Linked DNA regions of Tribolium castaneum. The main gene of each other region encodes a partner of the protein of the gene in region 4 in a complex. Links are inferred from orthologs where the notes say so. Each region holds a gene or a part of one and is shown on either strand. Other genes may lie near its edges. The genes, in order: SmE, pre-mRNA-splicing factor RBM22, Usp39, U5 small nuclear ribonucleoprotein 40 kDa protein, Prp8, SmD1 and U4/U6.U5 tri-snRNP-associated protein 1.

Region 1 (2,431 bases), on a different chromosome or scaffold from region 4:
ATTACAAATAAATAAGAGAAAAAAAAAATTTAATTTACCAATCAGAAGTAAGCGGACGTGAGAAATGACATGTGAGAGGTGCTGGCACACTCTGGCCCTCTCTTCTTCAGTCCAATGGGCTGTGGGTTGGGTGACACCAGCTTGGTACTTTGCCCAGTTTAAAATTGCTCTCCAGACATCCTCTTCCTCCAAACAGAGCTAAATTGAAACAGTAATAAATGATTTTAAGTAAAATTTTAAAACTTACATAATCTGAGGAGATTAATTTTAAGACTGCTTCTTTGGGAAGAGAAAGAAATGAGTTTGTTTTTACACATTCTACAGCATTTTCGCCAATGTAGCTGACGCAACGTTCGACAAAACCTGTCGCAGCTTTACCCCCTACAAAAAAAATATATTGGAACACCTACAAGCTTCACAATTCTAAAAAAGCGATAATTACCTGTATTGTCCATCACATTTTAATTTTAAGGACTTTGAAGTTATAAAAATAGACATAATTACTAAAATAATTTTAATGTCCGCATTTCTTTTACAGAAAGTTGATGAATCACTTAATACTAAGACCAATTGCGGTTTTCATACAAACACATTACTCCAACGAATGAAAAAATTGTTATGAAACTTAGAATTACGCTACAATTTACAACTAATTGCCTGATTGAGGATTCACGTTCTGTATCAGCGTTATGTTATCTCCTTTAAGCATGATTCTTCCCAGCTGCCTCCTGTTCTTCGTTTTAACGTAATATTCCTCAGCATCATCCAGCACAAGATTCATGTATTCATCAAAACCCACAATGTGCCCCTCGATTCTCAGATTAATGTTCTCGTATAACCACACTTGTACACGTGAACGGTTTTGTAAGTAACGAAAAATTAAGTTGATGGGTTGTACCATCACTTTTTGAACTTTTTGTGGTTTGTACGCCATGGTTAGAGGAGTCTTGGGTTACCGGCAAAAAAAGTTCTTTAAGGAAGCTAAGTGCAAACACACTTTCACACAGCACGAATTATTCGTATTAAGAGAAAAAAACTTGTTCAAAGTTTGCAATAGTATTTATAAAACTTAAAAAATGAGGCGACGCTTACAATACGACCAAAGTAAGGTTATCTGTGTGAGTTCTGTATTCTGTTGGCAATCGTGGAACGCGGGAAGCTTGACGAGCTGAAATACACCAGAAAAAGGTCTGGTGGTTTGGTCGTTTTTAGGCTGTTTCGAAACTATAAAAACACCAACGTCCCATTTTTTTTCCAAAATTATTCACGCAGAATTATAGTCGCACAATTTATATTTTGGGTTTTCCTTAACTAATCAAGCTGAGTTATTCCATAATTATCATCAGATGGGCGTAAATGTCTCGAAAAAAATTTTTTTTATTCTCATTTAGCTTTCTTTGACGTGATAGTTTTTTATATATTTTTTTTGAACTTGGTGTCTCATAAACTCAATTTTTTTTTAATAAGGTTGATAAAAATGTAAAATAGTTATTAATAAATAAATCATTGAGACTATAAATAACATTACCTATTAGTTTTTTGAAGTGCATAAATAATTTATAACAACTAATTTTGAGAGAAAATACGAGGTTGGCGTTTTTATAGTTTTGAAATAGCTAATATGAGGAGTTGCGCCGTGTCTTACACACACACAATCGTCAATAGGTCTTTCTTTGTCATTGTTACCCTTAATGACACAATTTTGGTTTTGGCGGGATAATTTTACGTGACTTTAAAGAAAAAAACGACAAGCTATAAACTCGATATAAAGATGTGAAACGACATTTAAATCAACTCTTTACTGAATAGGAAGGGTTATTTTGCTCAAAAAGTTAGATAAATGCCTGAAATCACACTTAAGAAAAAATTGCCAAGAGTGCTTTGACTTTGCACCAAATGGATGCTGCTTTTAACAGTTGTCATCGCGTGATTGTCAGTCAGTGTTGTTATCTCTCAGAAAATCGAACGAAACTAGTGATTATTTGGACTGGGTGGTTCAAAAATGCAAAGTGGGGCACCTGTTTTTGTGGAATATTTGTGAATTTGAAAGTGCGGGCGCGCAGACTGTGACCTGGCGCGATGCGCACAACGACCTGCCCCTTGACTGTGTTTATGGAGAATACTCGGGGAAAAACCGGCTCAAAAGACACATTTTTCAATTTGGGTAAGGTAAGTGCTACACCTTTGCGGCCCAAAACCTCTTTGAACCTTAATTTTTTTATTTGCACCGGAGATTATTTTTATTTATATTATTTATATTTTCCAAACTGTGATGAAGTGTAAAGTGTTGTTTGAGTCTTAATAGCCCCAAAAACTAGAATTAGGCGAGAAAAATCTCAAAATTAATGCCAAAACGATACAAAATTGATGTTAATGAGCCCTAGCCGATCCCAAAGGACCAAAGGATCATTTATATGAAATCTGTGCATAG
Region 2 (3,757 bases), about 5.4 Mb from region 4:
AGGGCAGCGTAGGCCACCGCGATGATAATCATGATCAGGAATTCTTTGCACAAGTTCAACATTTTGAGGGTTAACGTGGGACGGTCTGCCACGCTCGCTTCGGGATTATCGGTGTCGCTATCTGAATCTGTCGCGACAACGTCGGGGTCATTATTGTGAGTGGTCCCTGGGTCAGGTGCTGGCGAGGTGTTACAGTCCGACTCTTGTACCGGAGATGACATACCCAGTTGACCTCATACCATTGAACCTTGCTCGATTTCACGTAAACTTGCCGCGGATTCGGAGAATTTTGCTCTTTGGTTAGGTGAAAAATCGAAATTTTACGAAATTTGACATCGTGTCAGCACACGTCAGCTGTCACGCTGTCGCACGAAGTCCACCAACTGCGAATGTGCAATGACAGCTGTCACCCCCCAACTTAACCAAACAATTATTATTATTAATTATCCTCACAAATTTTTCCTTCCAATGAGTAACGGGGAATAAGAAAAAACACAAAACACTGGTCATAATTTTTTATTGATAAAAAATTGTACACCTCATAAGACCTAAGACCTACTCCTGCCTATCTGCATGCAACTGCGTGGCTCCCAGCCTGGCCGGATCCTGGCTGGGATAATGCACTGTGCTTTTGGAGGGCCCCCCTGTCGCCTCACTCGTCACAGTGCTGCTCGAAGCCGCTGTGGGGACATACGCCGACAACTGGGGCGGATTAAAGAAAAATGGGGGCATGGGCGGGGGGCCGAACATCGGCGGAACGATGAGAGACGGCGGTGGCGGCATATTCGGCAATGGAATGTGTCCCGGTTCGAGATTAAAGAAATTATTACTCAATTCAGGCAGAGCCCCCGGAAGGCCTGGCACAGGTTCATAGGCCTCAAGTCCCGGGTTAATCGCGGGGCCCGCGCGTCCTTGAGACCGCCCCCATTTGATGGTAAGTCGGCGGCCGCCCAAAATCAACTTATTGAAGGTTTTTTCGGCGGCCGTTTCAGCGGCTGCTCTGGTCGTGTACTGGACGAAGGCGCATTGCTGTTTAGGGACTAAACTAACAGAGCGGATCTCCCCGTATTGGTAGAAGTGGTCCCTGATGTCTTGTTCGGTGAGAGTACCAAGATTGCCGATGTATAGAGTTGTGATGGTTTTGTCTTCAGGGGGCGGTAATGCAGGCATGGCTGCCGCTCTTTTCAATAATTTATCAGCAACAGGGTCGTTCACGCCGTAGTAGCGGTCTTTTATGTTTTGATCAGCAAGGGGGTCTTCAGGATCTGTTGGCTTCTCGTGTCTGTAAGGACACTCCTCGCCTCTTCTGCACTCCCCTTTCACCCAAAATGAACATACGTGGGGCCTGTTTCGTTTGTAGTAGGGGGCTGTTCGCGCCAAACGCATTAGCAAGTCATTCGGTTCGTTCAACTTATTCGACAAAACGCCAGTATCCGACCGTTGCAACTGCAAAATAAGAGGTCGAAATTCAGATAATTGAATGGCTTTTTACAAAGTCAATGTTATTTGCTTAAAAAAGCCTGAACCGGAAATATTTAAATCAAATCTAGAGGGTAAATCTGGGTGTGGATGTGGTGAATTTGTTTTTTTTTGATTTGGCAAGGCTGATGTGAGTCATGGAGGCAACATTACCACATAAAAAAACACTAAGCTCTTTAAAGCACTCAACTGCCTTCGTGGACGCAAAATATAATAAAACAAACCTCGCGCTCCATATTCTGGATATAATATTCCTTATTAACGTCGCTCTTGGGGAGATCATCCTTGAGTTTGAGGGCAGCGTCCCGGACCTGTATAGGGAGGCCGTACTCCAAGTCCAGGAGACACGTCTGACACACGTTCTTCAACTTGCTACAAGTCTGGCAAACTTCTGTCTTTTTGAAACGCATACGAGCCCCAGGACACCACCGAAACACTGTGAAAGGGCGCGCACAGATTTTACACTCCTTGCCATATTTTTCTTTAGTCTGAAATCACATTTATTGAATAAATCAGGGAGAGTTGTGGCCCAGGAGATACAAACCATGCGAATATAAGGGTTGTCCCCCAGACAGGTTTGACACAAAATCGGGAAGTCCTAAAGTGAGGTTAAATCAGATTTACACTAGTTCCAGTTTAGGACTTACCGCATCCTCCCAGTTTTGCCGATTGTATGTGTTTGTTGTTTTTGACGTTGCCATTGCAGTTTCACACCATTTATGCTCGGGTTTTGCTCAAATTATACGAAAACTAAAAACAAGCTTTATTGATAGTTACTTGACGTGACTCAGTGCTGCCAACCTGTGTATGGGAGGGGACGTGGCGCAGGCGTTTTGGGGCGAGAGGTGATCCATTTATATCCTTTTATGGCAAACATAACCGCTAGATAAATAGGTTTTGCGAAATTTGTGAAATAAAATTATTTGCCAAGTGTTCATAACCAGTGCGTGTGCCAAGAGAATTTCTCGTAAACTGCCAACACGTAGTGTAAACTTTTCTACTACAATATCTCCGTGTTCCACTTGAGGATTCTTACCATTTCCGGCAAACCGGATCATTTTTCACATAAAAAAAACAGGAAAATGTCATTTGCATCAAGTAAGTGTGACCGTTTTTTGTTTCATTTGACAGGTTGCGATAATCAAGCCACCCCGTGTAATTCCGGTTGGTTTAATTTTGAAATGGAATTTATCTTATCTTTTCCAGAGAGTATTTACGCGACTTTGCCGCGGACCCAACGAGGACAGCCCCTGGTGTTGGGCGGGGATCCCAAAGGCAAGAACTTTCTCTACACCAATGGCAATTCCGTGATCATTCGCAACATCCAAGTAAAAAAAACCTTTCCTCCCTTAGAAACCCACTCCAATTGGTTTGTTACAGAACCCTGCAATTGCCGACGTCTACACGGAACATTCCTGTCCGGTAAACGTCGCCAAGTACTCCCCTAGCGGCTTCTACATCGCCTCTGGAGGTAAATCAACACACTGGAGCCCCCGAAAATTAAAACAAACTGGTTTTATTTCTAGACCAATCGGGCAAAGTCAGAATCTGGGACACAGTCAACAAGGAGCACATCCTTAAAAATGAGTTTCACCCAATCGGGGGGCCCATCAAAGATATCGCTTGGTCCCCTGATAACCAACGAATGGTCGTGGTTGGCGAAGGCCGCGAACGCTTCGGTCATGTTTTCATGTCCGAAACGGGAACTTCCGTTGGCGAAATCTCAGGCCAATCAAAACCCATCAATTCCTGCGATTTCAAACCCACGAGACCTTTCAGAATCATCACGGGGTCTGAAGACAACACCATTGCGGTTTTCGAGGGGCCCCCGTTTAAGTTCAAAATGACCAAGCAGGTAAGGAGGCCACGACTCGTGTCGCCAACCCACAAAATTAAATACACTAGCTTTGAACTGACAAACCAACACCACTTTTAACGCAATTTCACATTTTTTTGACCCAATTTACCTTTTTTTTTATTGCGTGATAATCGAAATGTCCTTGACGAAAACTAATTTGGGGGGAAATACCTGTTCATAAAGTAACCATAGGTGGCTATGATTTTGGTCAACGTCACGTGATTGTTTTTTACAGGAGCACAGCAGGTTTGTGCAAGCCGTTCGTTATTCACCCACCGGTAATTTATTTGCCTCGGCTGGGTTCGATGGTAAGGTGTTTCTGTACGATGGTACGTCCTCCGATTTGGTGGGGGAAGTGGGAAGCCCCGCCCACAGCGGGGGCGTGTATGGGGTTAGTTGGAGTCCCGACGGTAAACAATT
Region 3 (4,300 bases), on a different chromosome or scaffold from region 4:
ACAAAAATTCCGGTGATAGAATTTTATTCGTAAAAAATTACTTTTCTAATCTTAGCTCATAAATTTGTATATAAGCCTCCGTCAGCGTAATCATCTGCGGCAAAATATCCGTCACATGCAAGTCCTGCATCTCGTACCACTTGCCCGTTGATTTTTGCAAAATATGAACCCTGTAAGTGCCTTTCCCCGGCTCTCCATCATGCACAATATTCGCCACTAGATCATAGACCGTATGTTTATGTTTGGCCTTAACTTCGGGCGTCAAAAACTCGCCAAAATCAACATTCCTAACCGGAAAATTCACAATGGTTGGATTCTTCTCCACGTAGAACGTGTTCTTCGTAAACCTCTTAATATACAAGATTAAATAAGGCGGCAAACGCGTAATCTCAAACTTCTTGAGGAAATTCTCCTTGTAAGTCTTGTACTCCTTCTCGGTCTGTCCGTTGAACTTGGTGAGGAGCTGGTACAAGTTCACCTGGGGGATGATATTCTCCCGGAACTCGTCGATGAAGAGAGGCGGTGGAGGCAAGTCGCAGGTGAGGTACAAGAAGGGTGACTCGGTGATGATCTCCTGGTACTCTGGAGTTGACAAAAGCATGCGTTTCTGTCTGTCGTCAAGCTCGGTCGGTGGTATTTTCCTGGTGTAAATTTTCATGTTTCCGAGGAATGACTGGTAAATGATGGAACTGTTTTTCTTTTTATTGCCGTTAAGTGCCCGATGAAGTGCGTTCAAAAACCACGAAAGGAAATCAATGGGGTCGCCTTGTGCCGTAATTTGGAAGCGCTTTTTGCTCCACAAAACCACAGCTTGGAGCATTTCGTGCGGCGAAACGTGGGCTTTGAAATTTCGGGGGTTCCATAATTTACGCATCAGTTCACCGTAACGTTGCACCAGGAGGTAAGAGGAGTCACCTGGGGGGCGTTTTATCTTGCTGTAGTTCTCCTCACGGAGGAAGTAATTACGTAAAGGGACAACACGTGAAAGGGCTTGTAAAACAACATTACAGTAATCGTTCGCTTTTATGTTGTTTAAACCGACGATTCCTGGCATGTAAAGTAGGCCATCAATTGCTCGGGACATTTTTGTGCTAACGTCCAATGTACTGATGTGTTGTTCGGTAAATGTGGGGTTGAGCAGGTATTTAATGTCGTCGAGGGACGAATCTGTGAGTAATTTAATTTTGTTAGAAAAAAATCGTTGGAGCTTGAAATTAAGTGGCAACACTGATTACTGAAACCGAATACTTCCCCGAACATTTCCTAGTATTTGCTTTTTTCAATTCAGAAATTGACAACACGATTATCGAAAATAGACAAAAAACACAAAAATTAACCGAAAAACCACCAAACGGATTCAATAATTACATAATGTTTGTCTTTTCCGAAGATCCCAACTTGTTATTTCAGGCAGAAATGCCAAACAAGCCGCAAAATTACCAAATCAGGCCACAAATTATCTCATTTTTCCTTTTTTTTTAAGCCATTATGCATGTTTTTGAGCTAAACAGGCATTTATTTTACAAAATTCGTGAATTATGACATTGTAAAAACGTATAAATCCTAATCTTTGTAAAAAGTCTCCCAATTGAAGACTTCGCGCGAATTTCAAATCACGCGCGCTCAAGTGTCATTTTCAAATCAGCCAATGAGGTGCCGTTGGCGTGACATCAGCGTTAGAGTGAAGCTTGTCTGCCGAAGTGCGCGTCCTTTTGCTTTTGCGTGTTGAAAAACCGGTGTTTTGTGCGTGTTAAGTGGCAAAAACGACTCAAATCGACTTTTTATCGGAAATGTGACGTGTGTAGACTATCAAAGTGTGTTAGCAGCAAGCTGGAAGCCGGTTTTGAAAAAATTCAGTTAGACGACGCTAAGGTTAGTCATTTTTGTATTTTTTCCACGATTACTCGGTTTAATTCGAGTTAGTTTCGGTTGAAAACGCATACAAAACGATATTCAATAAAATGCCAATCGGAAAAATGCGACAAAACGAAGATTTCACTTTATTTTTGAAGGGGGGCGTTACTGGCATTGCGCCCTCTCAAACATTCGCGTTATTGAAACGATTTAATCTAATTCGGTGTAAAACTTCAGCTCGAATCAAGTGAGTTGGGTAAAATTGTTGAAATTTGAAGAAAAATGTTGCCAACTTAATTTCAAAACTACAATTGAGAGTATTTATTACCTATTATTTCATAATTGTCGGGCAAGCAGTAAAACTTCAAGGTGTGCAAGTTGAGGAAAACGTGGTGGCCTTCGGCCACCGAATGCGTATAAGCATGTGTGTTTGTGCCTCTACCTTGGAAATATTTTCCGCAAACAAGACAGGCATAAACGTTGATGCGAGTCAACGACACTGAGCACAATTTTTCGAAATCAAAGTCGAGATATTGCCGGTTGATTGTGTCCAAATAGGGGCACAGTCGATGCGTTTGGGGCTTCCCACCTGGAATAGACAATAATAGAACAGGGCGCTTTAATCGATTGATTTTTGTACCTTTCCGGTCCGAATTGTCAGAAGGGGGCTCAATTTCGGCTAAAATTGAACGTTTCAGTTGCGTTTTCGAGGTTATGTGTACTTACGTTGTGAGGAGTTTGATTTGGCTTGGGGCTCCTCGAACTTGGGCTTTTTCATGGCAGGTTCATCGTCCGCTTCCATCGTATTCACGCTTTTTTAATTAATTTTTGATTAAATCACGCTAGGACTGTTTTTGTGTGGTGTTTGCAACTTTAAGGTTATATTTACTGTCAACGGTGTCAATAATAATGTCAATCTGGTTATGCAATAAAATTCGAAATTGTAAAAAAATAAGTACTTTATTCAATAAAATTACGCTTTGAGACTAACTTTCTCTTCTTCGGCGCCTCGTTCATCACAAACTTCGACTTCCCCTCTCAGTTTTTTCTGGATGTCTTCGAGGGTTTTTCCTTTCGTTTCAGGCACAAAGAAATAAATAAAAACTAGTCCAAGTAGCGAACAAATCCCGAAACCGTAAAACGAGACATGTAGTCCGTATTCTACTTTAGTTATTTGTAAGTACTTGGAGGCCACTGTGGCCATCACACTGAAGTAAACATCGGCCAAACAAAGCGCAAAAGCTTTCACATTTGTGGGAAACAACTCCCCTAACATACAAATCGGGATTGACTGCATCCCTAAACTGAAAATTATCACAAAAGCTAGAAGCCCCACAACGGCCACGATCGAAAATGAGCTCGTATCAATGTCCGTTTCGTTCAAAAGATAAAAATAGGTCCCTTCGACAAAAAGGGCTAACGCCGACCCCGCCATTGAGATGATCAACAGTGGTCTTCGACCGGCCTTATCCACAATACTCGAGGAGAACATTGTGAGGAGCAACTGGATGGAGTAGTAAATCATCACAGCGTAATGTGCGGAAATGTGGTCCCCAGCAGTTTGGAAAATCTCATGGGTGTAGAAGGCAATAGCCGTGGTCCCCGCCAATTGCTGGAAGCCCCGGAGCCCCCCGATGATGAAAACGGCCTTCCGGTTGCTCTTCACCCGGAACAAGTCGACGAATTTCCCATTGTGCGACTTTTCCTCAGCCTGGATTGCGTTCCGGATTCGGTTCAAATCCCCGGAGACATTTTCGCGTTTTTTGAGGCGTTCTAGTGATTTCCGGGCCTCGTCCGCCCTCCCACGCATTAACAAATAGTACGGACTTTCCGGCATCCACAAGAATGTAATAAATAGGATTGCCGGCACAATTGAGGACACAAGTGCCGTGGTTTTAATACTAAGGTACGACCCTATCACATTTATGATGAGAAAACCGGCGATCCAGGTCACGGAGCAGCTGGAGCCGAGCATCCCTCGCACCTGGGGGTCGGCGATCTCGCCGATGTACATGGGGACGACGGTGAAGGTGACGCCGTCGGCGATGCCGGCGATTAAACGCGCGATGTAGAGGAGGACGATGCTGGGGGCGAAAGCCACCATTATCCAGGAGAGGAAGAAGGGGACGGCGGTGGCAAGGATGGTGCGTTTGCGGCCCAGGATGTCGACGATGGTGGCGGCGGTGAGCGAGCCGATGACCGCCCCCACCAGGGGCATGACGGCCAGGTTGGAGCCCTGGTTTTCGTCAATGCACAAGGTGCAAGTCTCGTTGTTTTTGAGCTGGGGGAGGCTGGGGGACGACCAGCCGTAGATCATGCCGTCGGTGACGATGGCCAAAGTGCCTGCGAGGAAGCGAAAGTGAGTTTCTCGATTTTGTAAGGATTGGATTCAGGTCGTTAAGTTTTTAGGGGTTTCTGGTTCAGGTAGAAGCGAAGGTTCAACCAG
Region 4 (4,094 bases):
GAAATGATTGTACAACTTAAAAAAACAGAATAAAATCATAAAATTTTCTGTTGAATTGAATGCGGAAGACGTTTTTGAATTTGGTATTGCCTTTATTATAAAAAAATAAAATTTTTCGAAAAACTATAATTGATAATTTTCTTTATTTACATCCTCATATGTTCCTTCTGAATAAAGTTAGAAACCTTTTTGGAGAAGATCCCTAAATGAATATAAGTTCAGACGTATATAGGGTGAGTCTTAACTTACACGCATAAATTTAGGGAATGATAGCCTTTCTAGTAATAGTTATTTACAATTTACCTGTAGTAGGTAAAATTTTACAGCGTGAAGTTTTAATATTGAAGCTCGAAACGAAGTTGAGGGCTTTAATACAAAAATTGAACCCTGTAAAATACCTAACGCACAAATAACTTGCAAAACTGGTTGGCCAAATATCGCTAAAAATAGATAAATAATTACCACTCAGCATTTAGATTATTTTACCACGCAATGTCAACATTTTACTTAGCAAATGACTAAATAGTAGTCATTTATACGGACTAGAAAATTAAAAAATTCTAGAATGAAACCATAAAATTTTCTGTCCAATTATTCTACAGAGTAAACTTAATATAACACATAAAATTTATATCTTAGTTATGGCTTATTTTTTTCAATACACAAATCAATTTTATTTTTAGAAACGCTAGTCTTTGACATCCAGTTATTGAGAAAAGACATGTTAAAATAACATTTTAAATAGCCACCAACTTTTTTGTTTACTATTTTAGTACTACACTCCTTCATATTTCTGATAAATATAGGGTGCTCAAAAACTGGCGCACCAACTCAGTGGTACATTATTGAGAAGCAAGTGCAGATTACGGGAAAAATGTTTAAAAAATTCCTAAAGTCATATTTTGAAAAATCTGGAGCTACAAACTTATTGTGTTAACTTCTTTAGTTTTCATTATTTTTTTTATGTATTTATGTTTCATACCAAGTAATCGTTCCGTAACAAAACGATGAATAATTATTTTCAAATTTACTATCAGATTTTAGCAGTTTTTTTAATTTAAAAAAATTAAAATTCATCCAAAAAATCGCAATGTGTAAATGTGCCAACACTGGCAATTATTTCCTAGGAAACCGTTTCAAAAATAATTTATTTTTATTCTTGCTCAACTTCTGTTGCGATCATGACTGTTAGACAACGTTGCCACATATCATTTATCCAAAATCCGTTATTTATCAATAACTTTAATACAAAGAATTTTTTACTATTTTTACCTTTATATGTAACCAGTTCTCTACCACACACCAATGAGTTGGTGCGCCAGTTTTTGAGCACGCTGTATAATAAAATTCAAACAAATGGAGCAAAAAATCAAAAAACAAAAAGAATAAAAAAATGAAAGAGGTAAAAAAGTTATGAATAATTTTACACAAGGGCTTTATTTTTCTGTTTTGGCTTTATTTTATAAGAACGATTGTTTGTTTTTCCTTATTTTTTTGTTTTTAGGTTGTTTTCATATTAGTTAAAAAACAAAAATAAAAAACATGCACCCCTGATAAAACAAAGCAATAACAATTCGTGTATACATATAGTCGATTTTTTTTATAATCAACTGTCAAAGAGCCGTCAGGTTAGTATTACCATAAATAGTAATTTTTACTAAGATGGTACTAATTTTTACCTGGCAAATTTAATTTAATGGTCTTTAAGTTACAACACGCACAACACATTTTTTTAAAAGGCTAACAAATTCTAAAGACTAACGAATTCAAATTTCATTGGCTGCAAAAATTGTCCCGAATGTCAAATCTGGTGTGTAAAATGTCAAATACAGAATACAGCTAGTTTCGAAAGTGATTAGACATGAGATTTTGGTGTGATACAGTCTGGTCTTTATCAAAATTTTGACACTGACAGTTAATTATAAAAAAGAATGAACTGTAGTTATCAAATTATTTTTAACAGCTAATGTACCTGTACAAAATTTAAAAATATTCTTGTTACAAATAGTTTTATTTTTGAATAAATAAACTAGTTCAGAATATTTTAAAAATGAACATTTGCTTCCATTTATTTAACTTGGTAATTTTTAACTACTATTGGAACCTGCACACAGGCGGCCAATTGGCATGGCTCAGCCCTGCTAACATCAACTGATGAATTATGTTGCACAAACAATTGGAAAAACAGCTTTAAGCTTATTATTTACATTTTTATCAATAACAATTGAAAATTTTTTACTCTTAACTTTCGAATTATGTTAACCCCCTGAATCAAATTCCCAACGCACGGGCGTTAATTTTAAGACACCCTCTATGTACTTCAAATTACTATATTAGATATTCAAGTAAATCCTCCAAAATTTTGATATGAAGACCTATTTGGCTGAACCTCATTGCAAAAAAAACAACTTACAAATTCTACGGTCGAAACCTGATGAAGCTACATATTGACCCTCAGGGTGGAATTCCACTGTGAAAATCTCACCCTCGTGGCCCTCCAGTAACATAATGGGGGCAAATAGATTGGAAGTTCTCGCAGGGGCCTGAAATACATGATTTGAGGAGGGTTTTTGAGGTTAAGTGTTACTAACCGCTTGTAAGACCGATTTGTTTTTGTTCGATGTGGCCACTTCATTTTTCGATTTTTTGCTTACGGGGACTAGAGATGATGAATCTTCGGCTCGACGTTTCTCAACAACCATTTTTGGTGTTTTAAACAAAAATTGGGAGGAAAACAATAACCTCACTTTTTAGCGTCAACAAAACGAAGCGATAAGCGCCCTCTGGTGGAGAGCACGAAGTACGATTTGATTGTATACCCTGTTTCAATTATATAAAACAAATAGTTATCTCCTTTGGAATAAATGTTTGACAACAATGAAATGGTTTCCCAATGTCGATATCTAAAAATTATTTGGTTTTTTACTTGCCAAAATTTCGAAAACGATTAATATTAGCTCACTTAACTCACTTTGCGTAATTCTTATTACTTTTTTGCTCTAAAATTGTCAGTATTTTCCCGGTACTAACAGATTTTTGTTAGTAATTTGCAACACTGAAACACAATTAAGTTTCTCTTGGCAAATATTTGAGGTACAACCCCATAAGACTGTTGCATTATTGCGCCATCATTTTTAGTGTGTCGTACTAATTTTTTGGGATTAGAAACTCCTGTAATTTTATATCTTGTTTCATCTCCTAAGTTTAGGAGGAACCCCCGGAGTTTAGGCTCATTTTCAAACTACAAACATCTTTTTTGCGTAATTTTACTAAAATAGATTGATAAGAATGATATCTTCCAAATTATAGTCGTTATTATAGTCTGCTTTGTTTGATTCAGTAAAGTTTCGACTTAAAAACTACATATTTTCTTAAATTCTGTCAGAAGAAACTTAAAAATCAGCAAACTTGATCAAAATTAGATACTAGATACTAATGTTTTTTGTGTAATTTTGGCAAAACAATCCAAAAGGTTGTTAAATCGTGTTAAAAATAATGTTATTTGTCTATTTTCAGATGTTTATTTAATATTTTAGCACTTTTTTTCGTGAAAAAACACCGTGAAAATCCTTAAATTAACTAAAAATTGACTTGACTTTGGTTTATTTTGCTCAATTTTTGAACTCATTTAAACTCTAAAATAAATCAGTTTGTAAAAAAACTCTTAAAATGACACTAAAAATCATTAATCGAAAATCCCAAATTTGTTGGAAAATTATGTTATCTGTGCCTTTTTTAAACGTAGAATTTTGTTAACAGACCGACATTGATTAATGATTTCTTCCTCTTAGACGATATTACAGAAAAAACTTAAAACACTGATTGCATGCCAAAAAAATTGCCTAAACATTTGCAAATATTTACGTACGTTTCTTCCAGAATATGTATATCCTGTTTTTATAACTCATTTTAATTAATTTTTACTTAAAATATTTACTTCCGTGCCTACGGAGAGTGTGATGCAACTAATCTAATAAAAATATTTAAAATAAGTGCTCAAACATTAAACTTTGCGACACGCAAAGTGGATAAATATTTGCGGCATTCCATCAAAGTTTGCGTAATTTCCATATTCTGTAAAATGCATGTGTTAG
Region 5 (3,500 bases), on a different chromosome or scaffold from region 4:
ATTCAGATTCTCTTTATTTTCGTTAATTGGCTTTTTTTGTCTTATCAACTTCAACTTTATCTTTACTCGTGAGGTAAATTTTTTCTCATGCACTTTTTCGTCTAAGACTATTTTTTTTTTCACCGCAACTTCTTCCTGTGGTCTTTAAAAAGTTTCTGTTATTTTTACCCCAACATTCTTCTTTCCTCTCTTTTTTTTTTGTTCGACGAAATTTTCACTTCCTCATCACTCTTTTTAAACATTTTTTAAAAGTTTCTTAACTGAACTCACGTCTCATAAAAAGACTCAACACATTTTTCTCGTGCAGTTTTGCGAGTGATAATATAATGTGTTTTGCTAGAGAAAGTTTAAACTGTCATATCCCAAAAAAGTGTGCAGCTAGAATTAAATTATGTGCTCCAACGGACTACCAAACTTTTTTTTATTAAACCTTTATAACGTCTTAATTTCAAAATTTTACACTGTGTCAATATAAAAAAGTTTGTGATAAGAAAAAAAAAAAAGTTAAATGGTAAGAAAACAGAAAAAACCAAACGAGCAATGTGAAGACTTTTCTTTCTAGGAAAAATATAGAAATATAGAAAAAATATAGAAAAAATATTACATCAAATTTCTTTATGACCAAACCTAAAGTATTTGTTGAATTTACAATTTACAAATTGGTATGAAAGTAAACTCTTTAAGTGAGTGTTGTCCTTAAATTAAACCATTACTTCATAGGTCAGTTATTATCTCATTTTCATAGATATTTGAAAACTCATTTTATAAAAAAACTAAACATTCAAATCGCACGAAAAAAATATAAATAATAGAAGTAACTTTTTAAAACAAAACAAAAAGTGGTCATGCTAGACTACGAATCATAATTTCTGTAGCGCAGCAGAAAACAGCAATTCCTAAAAATCTTTAAAAAACGAGCGTACAGTAGGAAGGCAGAAGAACTAAGGAAAAAATTACAGAAGTGAATGACACGGAGATCTATTGAGGAATAAGAAAAATACGAAAAGACTTAAAAAGGTCGTAAAGAAAAAAGTAAGGATAAAATGGAAGAGATAGAAAACAAGTCAAAAGAAAAAGTATGAGGCACTCAACGAAAATAAAAACATGGGTTGAAGAAATAAAAAAATTATAAATAAATTATAAACAAAAAAAGAGTTTTAGTTTTTATTTTTACTTTGGATTTCTTATAAAAAGCGACTAAAAATGAATTATATCGTAGTGTGTCTTGCCTAAGCCAACGTAGGTCTAATTTAGATATACGTTGGGCTAGCCAAGACACAGTACACTTGCTATTTTGTACTATGAAAATATTAGTCACTTAAAAATAATGGTCTACTGACCAACTTTAATAATATGGTCGTAAATTTAAAAGTACACTGATGGAATGAAAGAAAACAATATTTAAATATTAACATAGATTATTTGATCAAATGAAGTACTCATATACAAAAAAATCTTCGAAAATATCGATTTTATTTTTATATATTTTTTTAAATTTAATTTAATAATAAAACTAGTATTTTTTTTATTTTAAGCTGCATAAGGTAAGTGTATCATTTATTGAGTTTCTTGCCTATGGACGTAACAGTTTAATTTAGAAACAACAATTATACGGAAACTATTTTATTAGTTTTTTAAAAATTCAATTTCTGTTTTTTTCATCCAAGCACGCTTTAAGCATTCCTAGTGTAATTTTGCGAAATTTAGGCAGTATTATTATAGTTATGTTCGTTTATTAGAACCTTTTGAGGCTCCAATAGGTTTTTATTTGATATTCTTGGTAGTTAAAATAATATTAATAATGAAAAATATTGTATGTGATATTTCAGCATTTTCATGAAGACTTTACAATGAAACGAATATCATACCACAACAGTTAATCTTCCACACTGCTAGTTTACCCGTTCCATGCTTCAAGAACGAATACTAAACTAATGTGGGTGAAAAAAACGCAAAAGAAAAAATTACATACCACGACAAGTGCACAAAATGAGGCATGTTGTTGTACAAATATGGAAACGCTATCCTATATTCGGTCCTAATAGGTTGCCTAATTATAATTTTATTGATATCGTTAAACTCATTCCAGTCTTCGTCCCTGCAATAATGATAAACAGTAAGATATTTAATAAAAACCTTAAAATTAAAAATTCTTACGCAGGATTCATATCCTTGATAAGCGGTTCAAATTTAGGCCCTCCAGGTATAGCCATATTTAAAGCTTTCGCCGTAAAGAAACTCTTGGTATCAAAAAGATAAAAATAATTGTTATCAACTAAATCGGTCAGTAGTTGGTTTGCCAAACGATACAATGTCGCCATCATAGGTAGCGTTAAATTCCATTTCCGGTACGTTGGGCCATTCACATACTTCATACCAACTAATGGTTTGTGGTCGTAAAACCATTTCGCAACTTCGGCGTCTTCCTCTGCGTCCAATTCAATCTGAATGGCTTCAAGTGGCTCAACATCTAGCACGTTATCGGCATAATCTAGAGGCGGTTCTTCGTCATCGAACGGTGGAAATCGCATTCGCTTGAAATGACGACGATCGCGTTTTTCACGTCGCATCATAATCCACATTGTTCCCCACTGGGCTATGTAAATGGGCTCAATCACCCATGGAATTTCATTAACAAAAGTTATAGCACCAGTTATGTGGTACAAAACTTTAACGTCCCTTATTTGTTCCCAAGGCATTGGCATGTTTTCCAATAACTTCATTACGGCATGAGGCATGTATTTTAAAGCGCTGGTAAAAAGAAAATTCAAAAATTATGTCACATCATGCAACTGAAGAAAAAAATTACTTTAGACGCACTCAAAGTAAAAAAAATAGCAAAGATCTGACTACTGTTTGGAAAAGAACGTCACAGAGCTGTACAAAGTGGCAAAGAATAATTTGTCTCAGACACTTTGTAATTGTAAAAAAAATCTAAACTATTAAACTATTATTTGACTGTGTCGTTATATATGGAGCGATTTCCTTCTATTTTTTTAGAGACATAAGCTTCTTTTTTTACATTTAGCCAGATACACATTTTTACTGCTTGCTATTTCTTTCGGAATCTAAGTTAGCTAAGCTTCGGAATTATTAATTCTACAGTGTTAAGTTTCAATATTCAATTAAACTCCTGGATTTAAGTTCATAATTCTCACCCAATTTATCGCTGGTGTATTAAGATTTCTATTATTGTAATTCACTAACATTTTTTCACAACTTGTAAAGTCGACGTCTTACAAAATCGACAAAGGTCTGAACCTCCCTTGTGATATCTCAAATAAATTCAGTTGTGTCACATTTTTTAAGTATTTATTAGTTTTTATATAAATTACACAGACCGAGTTTAAGTACAAGTTCTCTAAGAATTGCATAATATAGTTCTGAAAATTAACCACAAATTATGAAACTTAAAAAGTGATTTGTAAAGTCATCAAACACGTATTTTTTGTTTAACATTAAAATTTTATCAATACACATTCTTTTCAAAAACGCAATTT
Region 6 (2,615 bases), on a different chromosome or scaffold from region 4:
AGCAGGAACGGACAGTTTTAATATACCTACGAATTAAAAAATAAACTTGTAAATATTACAACTTACTTTTTTTAATCTAGTTTGTAACTAATTAGTTTAGCCAAGTGTTTTCACTGTTTTCACTGCTTGTTGCCACAAAAAATTAATAATTATTGAGTCACACTAATTTATTATTAATTTCATAATCCAATTTTATCCTTTTTTTTATTTAAATTTCATAATCGATCGTTCACTGGTAAATAACCACCTAGTCTTTTAACATAATTCAAAAAAGTAAAACTAGAAAATTTGTATCCAAAAATGACTTTTTGTAAATTTTTTGGGTAAAAATGGTTTTATTTAAGTAACATTTTAATAAAATTGTACTAATAAACTTGTACTTGCAACGTAGTCATTTGATAACTTAAAACTAACCGGAATTTTTCAGTTCTTTCGACAGAGGTCAGAGTTGCGACCGGACCCGAGATCTTGCGAAAATGATTATTACTAGTTTTGTGTTATCTATTCTAATATTGTAATAAATAACATAAATTAATCAGTAACAAGTGTTTTTCAAATACTTTAGGTAGGGGAGAGTGGGGTTATTATGTACAGTGAATAATTATGCCCAAATTTCTGTAGGTTAACCCTCTTATCCTATAATCTAATTTTGCCCATTATAATCGTGTCCACATAATTTCAGCAATTTTGAAGCCTCACTCAAAAACTGTCAAACTAAAAACGTATCTTTCTCATGTTATAGTTATAATTTAGGCGAAAACAAGTCAAAAATTACTTTTTTTAACTTTTCAGATAAGTATTTTCTAACTTCTTATTAACATATAATTTATATAATCGACCTAATCTTAAATTTTTCTCCGCAAAATGTATTCATACAGTGGAACCCCTGTCACCCGAACGGGGATAAACCGACTCCACCAATTATTTTGTTCAATTTCAAATTTTGAATTCGAAAAATTTTTATAACACGAATTTTTGTTTAATTAATTAATTAACTAAAAACACGCAACTAATAAAAATTAAGAACAAGAACACTAGATGCACTAGAGAGAGTTGAGATTTTTAAGGTAAACACTTTGTTGGATTAGTTAAAAAAATTGCTCATATTATAATAACAGGAATCACTTGAACTCAACAAAAGTATTATTCCACTGTATTCTACAAAGATGATTTGAAGTGGCAACGGCCTATTCGGGTGATCGAAGTTCGACTGTATAAAGCAAAATATTTCATTGTTACTACGTGCCAATAGCAAGGTTATTTTGATAATAGCTGTGATAATAGTAAATAATAAAGAATTGTTTTTATTTTCAGAGTCCATAATTATCTGCAAACCTATAAAAAAAATAACGATTTAAAATTGGCGCCACGTAAGTGGCGCTCCCTTCGCAAGTTTTCTTGCCATCTCTTTCTTATATGCTCATTCTCTTTCCCTCTATGGAAGAGGGGGGGTAAAAAAACGTAAGCCAAGCGTGTTTTGCCGGCATAATATAAAAATTGTCTTAATTACACCAAAAATATCAACATGAAATTAGTAAGGTGAGAACGTAAACTACTGATTGATCAGACACGTTTTTATTTCCTTGAATTCCAAGTAAAACTCCTGAAAAACCACCTAACCTAACATTTCGGCCATTTTCAGGTTTTTAATGAAACTGAGCCATGAAACGGTCACAATGGAGCTGAAAAACGGCACACAAGTCCATGGCACTATAACCGGTGTAGATGTGGCCATGAATACGCACTTAAAAGCTGTAAAAGTGACTGTAAAGAACCGAAATCCTGTGAACTTAGACACCCTAACAGTTAGAGGAAACAACATTCGTTACTACATTTTGCCCGATAGTTTACCCCTCGAGACTCTGCTGATTGACGACACCCCCAAAGCCAAGGCCAAGAAGAAGGAGAGCGCCCGGGGGGCTGCCAGAGGCCGCGGGAGGGGCCGTGGCAGAGGGGGCCCCCGAGGCAGGGGCAGAGGGAGAGGGCGTAGATAAGAATACGTTCATTAAATTAAGTTTCGTAATTGTAAGTGTGAATCTTTTCGTTTAGTTCCAGTATTTGTAAAACTTTTATAATTCTGCTAAATTCATCAATAAAACATATTTAGGTTTAAAATGTCTTTGTTATTAAAAATCGGGACCTTGTACTAAAATGTATAAAACGTAAACTGTGAAACAAACAAAACAGAAGGCGGCTACAAATGCGAATGATTTTCGATTGTGTCTGTGGAGTTGTGAAAGTTGGTTTTCGTTTGTGGTTAAAAGTTTGCGAACTTCTCGTAACTCTTTCTTCATGTCGGCTTTTTTCTCGTTGGGGATTTCATCAGATTCGATCTTTTTTTCTAAAAGTTGGACCCTCACGTAACAGGCTTTGATTGCTTCTTCTGTTTTTGTTATCTACAAATGGTTAAATGAGTTTGGTAAAATTAACGTTTTACTGATTACCTCCTTCATGACGGAACATTCTCCTAAAGATAGCCCCATTTTTCGGGTGGTCTTAAACACTGACTATCAATACAGAAACAGATGGACTATCACTTTATTTAACCTCAATTTTTTTTATATTAATAATTATTTTACAAATTTAGGAACATTCTCTTACTTTCAATACAAAAA
Region 7 (4,071 bases), on a different chromosome or scaffold from region 4:
GATTACCGTGCAATCCCTATCCTAATCATGACTGATAATGGTGCTCACGGAAGTGACGTGAAAGGTCACGTCGAGAGCTGGTCATCAACCATTTATTTTTTTAATTAACTATAACTTTCTGTTCAATATTTTCCTTTATTACCGTTTTGTTGGAAAATATGGGAAATTGGTAATTTCTAATTAAAACACGGAACTCACTTTTAATTCATTTCATTTATCGCAAAAATTATTACACCGTTTGTACTCGTAGGGAGCCAGACTTTAAAACTTATTCATAAAACCATTATCATTATCGTACCCGTCCCTTAAAAACGATCTACAAAACAAAAACATTTCGTAACACTTTTCGTTAGGACTTTGTAAATAAAAACTGATAAAAATGAAACAATTTATACAATTTACAATGATGCCCAGTTTTCCTTAATTTAAAATTGCCACTTCTTTTTAGAGTAGCGCTGAATTTTGTTCACACAAAATTATAGTATTTATTTATTCTTAGTCATTTTACTTAACGCCGACTTTTGGAAATAACCGCCGTTTGCTGGCTCTGCTTGTTCCCCGACAAGACCACATACGGCGACTGCGTCTCCTTCTGCTTCGCTTGCAGCATATTCAAAGTCCCTAAGGGCGTATCCGTCGAACTCATCTTCTTCATCAACTGCTCCTGCACGCCCTTCTTTATCCTCTTCTCGATCTTATTTTTCCCCGGCCCTTTCCCGTGGAACTTATGCGAGAGATACCTGAAGGCCTCCTTCGAGTTCAACACGTGCCCATCATCGTCGATATACTCCAACTTAACATTGGGCTTAAACCCATCCTTCTCCTTAAACTCCATAATGGGGCCAGTGTACCTCTCCCGGCGGTTCGCGCGATCGCCCTCATCCCCGTAGGTCTTGTCCTCGATAGAGTAATGCTTGGCTTGCAAATGCGCTAACCGCGAATTCGACGGCCTCTTATTCTGCTCCTTGTCCAGGTACCCCTTGCTCATTGCAAGCTTCAAAGCTGCCCCAAGCCCTGTACTGACATCAGGCTCTTCGTCGAGGATTTGCACCTCTTGTGGGGCAATTTGCGGGCTTTCGTGCGGCTCGTTTGGATCGACTGAATTCCAGCCGGTTTTCTCCTCCTGCTCGACTTCGTCCATTTCGGGCTCGTCTTTCAGATCACGCTCGAAATCGATCAAATCTTCGGTTTCCTCGCGGTTGCCGGACTTGCCGTACGTTGGGATGTCGCCCAAAGTGCGGCAAAACTCCGCCGTGGCGTTCAGAACAATACTCCCCTCCAGGTTTTCCTCACTTTCGCTTTTAACCGGCGTTGATTTAACAATCTCAGCAACGAGGTTCTCCTTCTGTTTGATTTTGCGTGTCTTGTGCAGCGCTTTTTCCAAGAGATCGTCCTTCTCGTCCTCGAGTTTGACGTCCGTGGGGTATTCCATTTCGGGGATGTCGTCAATGGTCAAGTCTTCGAGCTCTTTCTTTGGGCGTCTTGAGCCGACTTCCTCGATGCCTTTGTTGTTAATTTGTTGCTCCAATTCATCAGCGGTCAGTTTTCCCTTAGTTCGGATTTTGCGGACTTTCTTTTTGGGTTTTTTAAATTTGGACAGTTCCTCGTCGTTGTAATATTCCGATGCGAGTTTTAAATCTTTTGTTTCAATCGATTCGATTCTTTTTTTGGCGAGTTTTTCCTTAATTGATTGCACGATTGCTTGTTTACGTTCAACCGCATTGTCGTAACCGATTTTGAAGCTTTCGCGTTTTTCGCCGTCGATTGTTTCGTCGTATTGGGCCAAAAGCGACTTTTCTTTGGGGTTGCCAAACTCGTCGTACTCCTGGTCTTCGTAGGCGTTATACAAAATCTTCTTCTTCTTGTTTATAACGTTCTGAAATTTGATGATAAATAATCATTCACTGTAAATATTTGTAACAAATTACCTTTTTGTATCTCTCGTCCTCAACCATGTTGACATTGACCAGGACATCCTCCTTGTCTTCATCCAAGACGCCCTTGTCTTGCAGCGTCAAGATAACATCCCTTTCCTCAGCAAAGCTATCAACATCATGCTCCACCCTCAGCCCTTTCAAATTCCTCTCAGTGTATCTCTGCTTCCTCTTCTCCTTCTTCTCATTCTCCACAAACTCGCTGACCCCAAACTGCTCATCCAACTCCTCCAACATTTTCGCCCTTTTCTCAGCCTCCTTCTTGGCCAATTCAATCTTGCGGTTCTTATCAACCCACGACTCCACATTATCATCACTATCACTGTCCCCCAGCAGCTTCACCTTGCCCAGCTTATTCTCCAGCTGGCGCTTTTCCCGAATCGTTGTCAATTTGCCCTTCAGCTTCTCCCTCTCGTGCTTATCCGCCCAATTCTCCGCCGGCTTGTGGTAAAACTCGCCCCAATCGTCCTTCTTCTTCCCGTCATCCCGTTTCTTCTCGGACTTGTCCCCCGAACTCACATCGAGCGGCTTCAGGCCGAGCTTCGCCCGCAGTTTGTTCGTTTCCTCAATCGAGAGACTCTCAGCGTTTTGCCCGGAGCCCGAAGGCTCATCGTCCGGAATCACCTCGATCACGTCGGATCCTGGCAAAAAATCATTCAAACGGGAAAGTTGGACGCGGGGTGCTTACCGTCGCTGTCGTAGTCGTGCTTCGCCCTCGCGTCGCGCTTCTTGTCCCTGTGGTGCCTCTTGTGGCGGTGGCGCTTCTCCTTCGGGGGCTCATGCTCGTCGGTGTAGCCGGGGCTGTGGTGGCGCCGCTTACGAGACTCTTTCTCTTTTTCTTTGTATTTTTTGCTACTAGAACCCATCCTTTTTACAAAATTTGAAGGAAATACCTACCGTACACAACGTCAATGCAACGTTTTGACGTGCGCGAAATCCGGATTGGTGGTTTCGCCGTTACGGGATTTGCCGAGTTCAAAAACCTAACCCCACATTTGCCAAGCCAAGATGACCAACTTATTGAAGCAATTGCAGGCGATGTACGAGCTTGCCCTGCACTCGAACATCTCCCGAGTGGTTTGTAGCCCCCTTTTGGGAGTCTGAGCCCCCAACTGTGCTTTTAGTGCGACTTGGCCCTGTCGGCGTCCGAGCAAAAGCCCGACTTTTTGCCCCCTTTGCAGAAGTTCCAGGTGATGTTGCTGTACGCCGATTCGCTGTACGAGACGCAACAGTTCGCCCAAAGCGAGAGTTTGTACCGCCAGGCCTTACAGCTCCGCAAACACCTCTTAAAAACCAAGTCAATGTCTAATAAAATCACGGAGAGTCAGCCCGAACTGGCCAGCGATGTGGAGATCAGGTTCAAGATACACAAGTGCTGCATGGCCCTGAAGCAGGTGAATGGGGCCATCGAGATGCTGCAGTCGATTCAGGCCCGCCTGCGGACCCCCAAAGTCAACATGGCGCTCGGCAACTTGTACAGGGAGGCCGGGATGGAGCGCTCGGCCATAACGTGCTACAAGGAGGTGCTCCGGGAGTGCCCGCTGGCCCTCGAAGCCGTGGAGAACTTGCTCAAGCTGGGGGTGAAAGGGGTCGAAGTCAACGCACTAATGGTGGAGGCAACTTCCGAACTAAACTGGCTAAACCTCTGGCTCAAAGCACAAGCCCAGTTGTACTCGCGCGACTTCGAAAACGCCGCCCAAACGTACAAAAGCATGGACAGCCACGGTCTACTCAAAGACAACACGTCGCTGCTGGTCAACCTGGGCTACTGCTACCACTACATGTGTGAGGACGAGACGGCGATTGCAGTCCTCCAGCGGGCGATTAAACTCGACCAGAACCTAGTCTTTGGTCGCGATTTACTGGCCACGCTTTTGGCGAGCTCGGGGACTTCCGAACACGTTGAGTATTTGGAGGATTTGATCCCGACCTCGGATATGTCGCTGTGGACGAGTGAGCATTGGGTGGTCATTGGCAATCTGATGTTTTCGACGAGACGGCACGAAAAAGCCGTTTATTTCGCACAGCAGGCGCTTTGTGCCTCGCCCAAAAACATAGAGGCGTTGCTGCTGAAAGCCAAGACGCTGGTGGAGCTCAGCAAGTACCAGGATGCCGCCCAGCATTGCACGGAAGCGAT

Evidence for each region.
Region 1: U5 small nuclear ribonucleoprotein 40 kDa protein (region 4) and SmE share a complex: the UniProt entries of both Homo sapiens proteins name them as parts of the U4/U6-U5 tri-snRNP complex. The link is inferred for Tribolium castaneum from reciprocal best matches to the Homo sapiens genes SNRNP40 and SNRPE.
Region 2: U5 small nuclear ribonucleoprotein 40 kDa protein (region 4) and pre-mRNA-splicing factor RBM22 share a complex: the UniProt entries of both Homo sapiens proteins name them as parts of the postcatalytic spliceosome P complex. The link is inferred for Tribolium castaneum from reciprocal best matches to the Homo sapiens genes SNRNP40 and RBM22.
Region 3: U5 small nuclear ribonucleoprotein 40 kDa protein (region 4) and Usp39 share a complex: the UniProt entries of both Homo sapiens proteins name them as parts of the U4/U6-U5 tri-snRNP complex. The link is inferred for Tribolium castaneum from reciprocal best matches to the Homo sapiens genes SNRNP40 and USP39.
Region 5: U5 small nuclear ribonucleoprotein 40 kDa protein (region 4) and Prp8 share a complex: the UniProt entries of both Homo sapiens proteins name them as parts of the U4/U6-U5 tri-snRNP complex. The link is inferred for Tribolium castaneum from reciprocal best matches to the Homo sapiens genes SNRNP40 and PRPF8.
Region 6: U5 small nuclear ribonucleoprotein 40 kDa protein (region 4) and SmD1 share a complex: the UniProt entries of both Homo sapiens proteins name them as parts of the U4/U6-U5 tri-snRNP complex. The link is inferred for Tribolium castaneum from reciprocal best matches to the Homo sapiens genes SNRNP40 and SNRPD1.
Region 7: U5 small nuclear ribonucleoprotein 40 kDa protein (region 4) and U4/U6.U5 tri-snRNP-associated protein 1 share a complex: the UniProt entries of both Homo sapiens proteins name them as parts of the U4/U6-U5 tri-snRNP complex. The link is inferred for Tribolium castaneum from reciprocal best matches to the Homo sapiens genes SNRNP40 and SART1.

The regions. Positions count from the first base shown.
Region 1 is NC_087394.1:32,141,537-32,143,967, reverse strand, and holds SmE (probable small nuclear ribonucleoprotein E), read right to left. Parts: upstream 1,152-2,431; 5' UTR 935-1,151; coding exon 650-934; 3' UTR 501-649; downstream 1-500. Other genes in the region: kelch-like protein 21, read right to left, coding at 39-198, 248-381. UniProt on the Homo sapiens protein: Plays a role in pre-mRNA splicing as a core component of the spliceosomal U1, U2, U4 and U5 small nuclear ribonucleoproteins (snRNPs), the building blocks of the spliceosome.
Region 2 is NC_087399.1:5,882,269-5,886,025, forward strand, and holds pre-mRNA-splicing factor RBM22, read right to left. Parts: upstream 2,317-3,757; 5' UTR 2,181-2,316; coding exon 2,127-2,180; intron 2,078-2,126; coding exon 2,024-2,077; intron 1,968-2,023; coding exon 1,704-1,967; intron 1,447-1,703; coding exon 556-1,446; 3' UTR 501-555; downstream 1-500. Other genes in the region: thioredoxin domain-containing protein 11, read right to left, coding at 1-221; flr (actin-interacting protein 1), read left to right, coding at 2,562-2,577, 2,686-2,807, 2,860-2,950, 3,006-3,334, 3,573-3,757. UniProt on the Homo sapiens protein: Required for pre-mRNA splicing as component of the activated spliceosome. Involved in the first step of pre-mRNA splicing.
Region 3 is NC_087394.1:36,569,871-36,574,170, forward strand, and holds Usp39 (ubiquitin carboxyl-terminal hydrolase 39), read right to left. Parts: upstream 2,801-4,300; 5' UTR 2,657-2,800; coding exon 2,581-2,656; intron 2,534-2,580; coding exon 2,495-2,533; intron 2,444-2,494; coding exon 2,183-2,443; intron 1,873-2,182; exon of another isoform or gene 1,629-1,872; intron 1,168-1,628; coding exon 38-1,167; 3' UTR 8-37; downstream 1-7. Other genes in the region: facilitated trehalose transporter Tret1, read right to left, coding at 2,828-4,197.
Region 4 is NC_087399.1:11,299,474-11,303,567, forward strand, and holds the start of U5 small nuclear ribonucleoprotein 40 kDa protein, read right to left. Parts: upstream 2,801-4,094; 5' UTR 2,703-2,800; coding exon 2,592-2,702; intron 2,544-2,591; coding exon 2,414-2,543; intron 1-2,413. UniProt on the Homo sapiens protein: Required for pre-mRNA splicing as component of the activated spliceosome. Component of the U5 small nuclear ribonucleoprotein (snRNP) complex and the U4/U6-U5 tri-snRNP complex, building blocks of the spliceosome.
Region 5 is NC_087394.1:7,718,291-7,721,790, forward strand, and holds part of Prp8 (pre-mRNA-processing-splicing factor 8), read right to left. Parts: intron 2,752-3,500; coding exon 2,158-2,751; intron 2,099-2,157; coding exon 1,973-2,098; intron 1-1,972. UniProt on the Homo sapiens protein: Plays a role in pre-mRNA splicing as core component of precatalytic, catalytic and postcatalytic spliceosomal complexes, both of the predominant U2-type spliceosome and the minor U12-type spliceosome.
Region 6 is NC_087394.1:7,020,357-7,022,971, reverse strand, and holds SmD1 (probable small nuclear ribonucleoprotein Sm D1), read left to right. Parts: upstream 1-1,384; 5' UTR 1,385-1,525; coding exon 1,526-1,539; intron 1,540-1,642; coding exon 1,643-1,994; 3' UTR 1,995-2,115; downstream 2,116-2,615. UniProt on the Homo sapiens protein: Plays a role in pre-mRNA splicing as a core component of the spliceosomal U1, U2, U4 and U5 small nuclear ribonucleoproteins (snRNPs), the building blocks of the spliceosome.
Region 7 is NC_087395.1:24,229,694-24,233,764, reverse strand, and holds U4/U6.U5 tri-snRNP-associated protein 1, read right to left. Parts: upstream 2,801-4,071; coding exon 2,623-2,800; intron 2,576-2,622; coding exon 1,929-2,575; intron 1,877-1,928; coding exon 509-1,876; 3' UTR 195-508; downstream 1-194. Other genes in the region: APC7 (anaphase-promoting complex subunit 7), read left to right, coding at 2,943-3,011, 3,059-4,071. UniProt on the Homo sapiens protein: Plays a role in mRNA splicing as a component of the U4/U6-U5 tri-snRNP, one of the building blocks of the spliceosome. May also bind to DNA.